Bombyx mori: one gene and its partner. The protein of the gene in region 1 interacts with the protein of each later gene in a pairwise test. Links are inferred from orthologs where the notes say so. Each region holds a gene or a part of one and is shown in the gene's direction. Other genes may lie near its edges.

What was found. The genes of interacting proteins can lie anywhere in the genome.
Region 2: the proteins of proteasome subunit alpha type-1 (region 1) and zinc finger C4H2 domain-containing protein interact in a two-hybrid assay, tested with the Caenorhabditis elegans proteins (3 studies listed by BioGRID). The link is inferred for Bombyx mori from reciprocal best matches to the Caenorhabditis elegans genes pas-6 and vab-23.

Annotation. Positions count from the first base shown.
Region 1 is NC_085120.1:6,273,841-6,277,600, reverse strand, and holds the start of proteasome subunit alpha type-1, read left to right. Parts: upstream 1-1,138; 5' UTR 1,139-1,320; coding exon 1,321-1,323; intron 1,324-1,597; coding exon 1,598-1,848; intron 1,849-3,608; coding exon 3,609-3,760. UniProt on the Caenorhabditis elegans protein: The proteasome is a multicatalytic proteinase complex which is characterized by its ability to cleave peptides with Arg, Phe, Tyr, Leu, and Glu adjacent to the leaving group at neutral or slightly basic pH.
Region 2 is NC_085129.1:15,695,820-15,699,479, reverse strand, and holds part of zinc finger C4H2 domain-containing protein, read left to right. Parts: intron 1-363; coding exon 364-535; intron 536-3,660.

The DNA of each region.
Region 1 (3,760 bases):
GAGAATCGCACGAAGTAAAATCGATATGTAAAGGAGAAAATAAGTGAGTACATATATGTATAGATCTGCTATAATCAACATCAACATCTTCATAAATAAAATATAGATGTAAGCATCATAGAGAAGAATTGAAGTAATAATTAATAGAACTTTTGAGATTTCCTATTCGAATCTTTAATAAAGAATTGAATTGAAAATTGAATAAGTTTCGAAAAAAACTTATTAATTCAATTCTGCCTATTTTGTATAATAAGTAGGTAAAATCTATTAGAGAATAGCCTCCAAGAATATATACTATATCAAATCTATGTTCTACTACTAAAATTAAAAGCAATCGAATTTTCAAAATGATCCCGCTAACTCGTTTTTACTATCGCACCCCCTCTTCTGAACTAGAACTCATCCATATAAATTAAATGCGTTCACAGTGCATTTTCAGAGACCTCTCTTGTCATCTACCATTGGGCTTTGAAATGAGTGACATGTTTTTCTTCTAAAAGTACTTTGGATGACTTCAATAGTTCCATCATAGTGACGAATTCTACTTTTCTATTTTAAAAGATCTGTAGTAACGTAAAAACGGAATAGCTTAATGTTTTCATATTATTTTTTGACAGTGATTTGGCTGTTAAGTTGCTTGCTTAATTAAATATTCCCCTACCTATCCGCTGTTAGCCTAAGAAGCTATTTCAGCTGCGCAGTGATAGGTAGGTGAGCTCACGGGGCTCAACCTGACAAAATTTTCTAACACTAGCCCTAGCAAAAGCAGTGCTTCGCAGAATCTACCACTAGATCGGAATCGTGATCCTTTGAAAAATCAGTCAAGAAATTTAGTGTCAATTTAATTATAATAATTAATTCTATCTTTAAAAAATTGCTTTCTGTTTATCATTATCGGGTAATATGTAGATATGTAGTGTTAAATCAGTTTTCTCATTATGCCTAAATTCGTAATTCCACCATATACTTCGAGATCAAATAAAACTATGTAATTATATTTTAATTATTATAATTTTATTACCTAACTATTATTATATTTTACTATAAATCGAGAGAGAAGTTCTTGGATCTGTAAGTCTTTGCTTTAAGTTCACAATATTAGTGATTGACAATTGAAAGATTGTGATTGTCAGTGTCACTTTTAAGCATAGAGTTACTATTCTGGGTACTTATTAACTCCATGCTTTTAAGAAAGTCACTGCATAGACTATACTTAGTCTGCTTGTATGGTAAACTATATTTTTCTTTCGCCGCTACATTAATTTTATGAAATTAATTCATAGTAGAAATTGTACTTTTCTAAATTAAATAAAACTTAAAATGGTAAGTAATCGTGGTCAATAATTTTACCAGATTTCTTTAAAAAGACAAATATATATCCTTTTATTTAAAGAAAAAAATCTGCATAGTCACTGCAAAAAGCTTTATTATACTAAAATAGCTGAATGTATACGGCTGAATGCATATATACGGCCATGCAGAAGTTTTATCAATATATAAAAATATGAAAACTGCTAAGATCAAAGTAGTCCAGTCATAACTAACCTTCTTAACCTATACCAACCACAAGTAAAAAAAACCGTCACTTGCTTTTCAGTTCAGGAACCAGTACGATAGCGACGTCACAGTATGGAGTCCTCAAGGCCGTCTCCATCAAGTGGAGTATGCAATGGAAGCTGTGAAACTTGGTTCTGCAACCATTGGTCTGAAGAATAAGGACTATGCGGTGTTGATAGCGTTGAAACGCGCTGTGAGCGAATTGTCCGCATATCAGAAGAAAATTATTCCTATTGATGAACATATTGGAATTTCTATATCAGGTCTTACTGCAGATGCTCGTATGCTGAGGTATGTTGTGATTTCTATCTGAGATATTTTACTTCCTTTTAGTAGGAATTCAACAGGCGCCTATATTGAAAATATGTAGTTCTTAAATGCTACTAGCAATTACATACAGTATCATAAACATAGGTAGTAGACACGTAGAATTGGACAGAAAAATAATTTTTAAAAATCATAAAACATTTCAGTTGTTAAATGGATTTTTTTTTATTTAACTTCTTTAAAACCATTTGGCAATTTTTATTTGAACCGTTGAAGAGTAGTTGATTGACAAGCATTGCTGGCTCTTTTTTTTTTTAATTTTGAACAAAGTCTTAATCGCGCTTTTGATTGGCTTACAAGATTAGGCATATTGATCCTGACTTACTTAGTTTAGAGCTTGACCTAAACAGTAATTATGTATTTGTTTTTTTGACCATATTTTAAAATATTTTGTTTATTATGAATTTCAACTAAACAAAACCCTTTAAGCTTACTTAATAAGTTTTATTAAAATAAAATAAATATGTTTTTGTGTAACGCACAAACAGAAATTTTGGGTTTTCATAATTCCAGCTAAACAAATAGATAGAACTAGACAGTTACCTAAACCTAAGCAGACCTTGTTCGTGATTTGTTCCCAGTTATTTATTCACATCAAGTACATTTAAGCCTGGTTTGTCATGTAATGAAGGCTGACAAATTATTGTGAATTATAATGAAATATGAAAACTTACACTTTTGTTAGTAAAAGCACATTACTATATACAATTACTTTGTCCAATGCAAGCTCCAAACATAATAGGAAAGAAAAAAAAATAGAAATCTTAATTCTGTCCTCTAAACTGTTGAAAACAGCTAACTATATAAATTCTTCCATTAATTTGATGAATTGTATGGTAATAAGTGTTCATTCAGTAAAAAAAATTCTGATAATAAAATATTCTCTATAAGTACAATTAAATACAGTACCATTGTGCTTGCAGCTATCTAATTAACTACCAGAAAGATTGTTTTTCTGTATCACCACTAAGATGCTTGGACTATATGTAAAAAAAGTATCACAATATTAAAATAATATTATAAAGAGAAACACAAATAATATTACACAAACAACACAAATAATATTATAAAGAGAAAAGATTTGTTTCTTTGTTTGTATTGAATAGGCTCCGAAACTACTGAACCGATTTGAAAAATTCTGTCGCTGTTTGGAAGTTACACTATTCCCGAGTGACATAGGCTATAATCTTTTTTGAAAAAATGAGGGATCCTTACTAAAACTCCAATACTTAATGTAACCCAAGGTGTAAAAATATTACATAAAATATTCTTCACATCGCGTGCCCTGCAAAAACTATTGATGATAGAATAAAATAATATACAACGACTTTGTAGAACACAGTATTATTCACAAAAAGTGTCGCGACAGCATAATTATGTCTAACTATTATAGTTATGCCGCAAGAAGTGTTATTTGAAAAAATAAAACAATATCAAATATCATTGAAGTTTTTGTTAAAGACCCGAGCGGAGCCAGAGCGGGCCGCTAGTCTAATATAAAGTTATTGAAGTTGCATGAAGAAGCATGCTATGGATATGTTACATGATTTAATATTAAAAATTTCCAAGGGAATATTTAAATCTTCATATATGGATTTTGATATTCTCTGTGCCCTGCCAGGTTTTTTCCAGCATCTATCCGTACCTTTCATAATAAAATGGTTAATTAGCATAAATGCAAATGGATTAAAACGATTTAATAATGGAATTATGTTTTGTTTCAGTCGCTACATGCGCACAGAGTGTCTCAATCACCGATATTCTCATGATGCTCCAATGCCCGTTGGACGTCTCATCTCGTCAGTTGGTAACAAAATGCAGATTTGTACCCAGAGATACGACAAGCGACCCTTGGGTGTGGGCTTGTTGGTTGCTG
Region 2 (3,660 bases), on another chromosome or scaffold:
ATTGATAGGCCACGCGGAGGCGCTCGGACAGCACTAGTCGCACCCGCCGTACCCGCCCTGAGAAGATTAAGCCGGAGCGGATCCGGGCTACCATTTATCCCCCGAAAGAATAGAACAAAAATATCAATTCTTAGCTACTTACCAAAATGCTTTACTTCGTTGGTTGTTAATGTTTTTTTTGTGTTACTCTTGTAGGCAGACGAGCATACGGCCCACGTGATGGTGAGTGGCTACCGTCGCCCATGGACTTCAGCAATGCCAAGGGCAGAGCCAAGCCGCTGCCTACCGCTTAATACTCAAATGTCAAAGTAACATAACAAAGTGCTGATTTTAATATCTTGAAACTGTACCTTTAAATTTCAGGAACAAAACTATAACCCTGGAGAGACTAAAGCGCAGCATCATGACGGAGGTGCGCAGCGGTGATCAAGAGGGGCGTTGTCTAGCTCAGTACAAACGCGAGATGGAGCTGCTGCAGCAGGAGAAGATGAGCCATGTGGAGGAACTTCGACAGATACATGCCGATATTAATGCAGTAAGCTATCTATATATTAATACGTGAAGCAAAAACTTTCTACCATTTCTTACGAAAATTGCGCGGACGGAGGAGTATGAAATTTCCCACACTTATAGAGAATAATAATATAGAGAAGGAGTGCACAATGGTATTTTTTTTATTTTATATTATGCATTAAAAATACTTTAAATCAATAAAGAAAACATTACACACACTACCATGTATTTGACACACACACACACATATACTCTTTGTTTATTGTCAAACTTTTGTTATTGCTTAAAGTCTGTAGTCAAATTGAGAATAGGTTAATATTCTTTATTTTTAATATTACAAGTATTTGTCAATAGTGTAGTCTTGGCGAAATCTGCGACTATAGAAATATAATAGTCCAAACTTATAATATTAATTAATTATAGTCGAATTTCGACTACTGCGGGAACACTAGTTTTAATTAATATTAGGTCTTTACTTATGAAGTTGCTGTTTAGTTCATAGAAAGTTAAAGTAATTTTTTTTTATAAATCTATTAATTAAAATAAGCACCCCTGGTATTGATATATTTGTCAGCGCAGTGGTAAATTTTCAACGGCCTTCTTGAAGAAGTCAGGTACGGAACAAATAAACCGTTCAAAGGGCTTTTGTACTGCTTCTAGGGTACTAAATTTTTTCCTTGCTAAAAAATTGTCTATACTTTGGATAAAGTAGAAGTCTGTCGACGCAAGGTCTGGCAAGTAAGGCGGATGACGCAAACCTTTCAAACCTAGCTTTTGTAGCTTAGATAACGTCTGTTGTGGCATATGAGGTTCAGTGTTGTCGTGTAAGGGCAGCGGGGACTAGCGATTAACTAAGGCCAGCTGAAGATTCTCTAGCTTCTCCATCATTGTGTCCAGTTCTTCACAGTTCACATTGGCAGTAATGCTAGTGCTATTTGTTGAGCTGTGATGAAATATACTAGCACTCGACCAAATATTGATGTACAGTGTCGGGGACAGAATCTCCCACGAGATGCCCGTACGGAGGTGGCCACAATAAGCGACTCCGCTACATTCCTCGCGCGACATCCGCGCCCCGCAAGGACAGCACCCACCTTAGATTTAATTCGGAATGTGTTTACCTTGCCAAACTACAAACTGCAACTTAAGCCGCTTATAAACTAGCTCCCTGCGACTATACTGGGATAGCCGATAATCTCCATAAGAAAAAGAGGATTTGCGGAGTCATCATTCCTAAAAAAGAATACTTTGTCCGGATTCATACAAGAATATTATATGATTTTGCGGATTCAATGAATATGCGCTAAAAAAACCTGGTATTGAAAACATGCTAGTAAAGAACAGTTCTAGGGCTGCCACACTCAATAATGGCGATGTTATATTTTTTTTTAATCGTCATGAGGTTGTGGCTCTTGCCACCATACAAACTTATTTGACTATGGCCTGAATCTCGCTTACGACATTTTCAAGATAAACTTGCATATATATACAAGTTCCGAACAACAACATACTGACCGTCGGTCTACCGAGCAATATCACCCGCTCGGTGGAAGATCTTCCCTTTGTCGTATAACTACGCGGCGTGATCGCAGACCGGCTTAACATGAGGGCGGAAGGTCATGGATGTATTCAGAATGACTTCGAGATATGAATGGCCTTCCTAGAACAGGGTATTTGAATGGCACGAGAAGATGACCGGGGGCCGATGTGACAGGGACTCGCATAGTATCCTCACTTTAAAGGAGCACGGCCATGTTTCCCGCAGGGCTCACTTCGAATAAATATGCTTCAAAGAGCAGAGTCGCGTTTTGGTTTTATTTTTAAACCGGCGGCCCTATATAAGAGTTGTTGTTTGTTTACATTGTCTACAGTTAAACTTTACTGGCAGAGAACATTCGTATCATGTCGATTGTGTTTATTTGAACGCGCCCGTTGTTGCAGGCCGCGCACGCGACTAGCTCATTGTCGTTTTAAATAGAAATTATTGTTTTTTGTTCGGATTCTGTTCTATTGGCCTAAGGTTAGAATGAATCAGTTAATGACGCATTTATTGAAACTAGAAAGCAGTATGGTCTGAATTCGGTCACTTCAAATATATATATACGTGAAGCAAAAACTTTGTACACCTTATAGAAAATATAGAGAAGGAGTGCAGAACGCTAATATATTTTTTTAATTATGTATAAAAATACATTAAATCAGCTTGAAAAACATTACACACACTCCCATATATTTGAAACACACACGCATATATACTCTTTGTTTATTGTCAAACTTTTGTTATTGTTTAGTCTGTGGTCTATTTGAGAATAGATTGAAATTTTTTGTCGTTAATATTATTTGTTAATAGTGTAGCCATGGCGAAATCTGTGATTACAGAAGTTTTATAGTCTTTGACAATAAAACCATAATAATGTTTAAGCTTATAATTGAAATTAAATATGGTCGTATTTAGACCACTGGGCGAACGCTCGTACAAAATTAATGGGTTTTATTTTTAGAGTATCAACTATTTTCACATAATGATGTAATAAATAAAATTAATGTTCTTCAGTTGGAAATTCGCGTTTGATCGAGGCTTCTTTAGAAATAACACAAACGGTGTACAAGACATCACACACCACTTGTATTCTTGTGACGGTAAATATTTAACATTAAAACAACAAACATCATGGAATAAGGGTAATTGGATAAAATTTCATATTACATACGAGTTCCGAACGACAACATAAGGGCCGCCGGCGTCCGAGCAATATCCCTCTCTCTCCCTCTCTCTCTCCCTGTTTCTCTCTCTCCCTCTCTCCCTCTCCCTCTCCCTGCTTCTCTCTCTCCCTCTCTCCCTCTATGGAAGTATTTCTTCTCGTACCGCACCGCAGCCTCCACCACATTATTTTGAGTCACTATCCCTCTCGGACCAGCGTTGTAGTTGACTAAATACGTAATATATGTTAAATCTGTAAATATGTTTCTCAAATATAATCGTTTAAAGTATTCGGTGGAGGCGAAGAGGTCAATCAGAAGCTGTGTGTTATAGAAGGTGTACAGCGAATGTGTAAAAAGTCGCCTTCATCCGCTACTAAATCACCTATAACTTTGTTATTCCCGAACAGATCTCGTTTTGATTCGAATTAGTAAACGATGAACCAG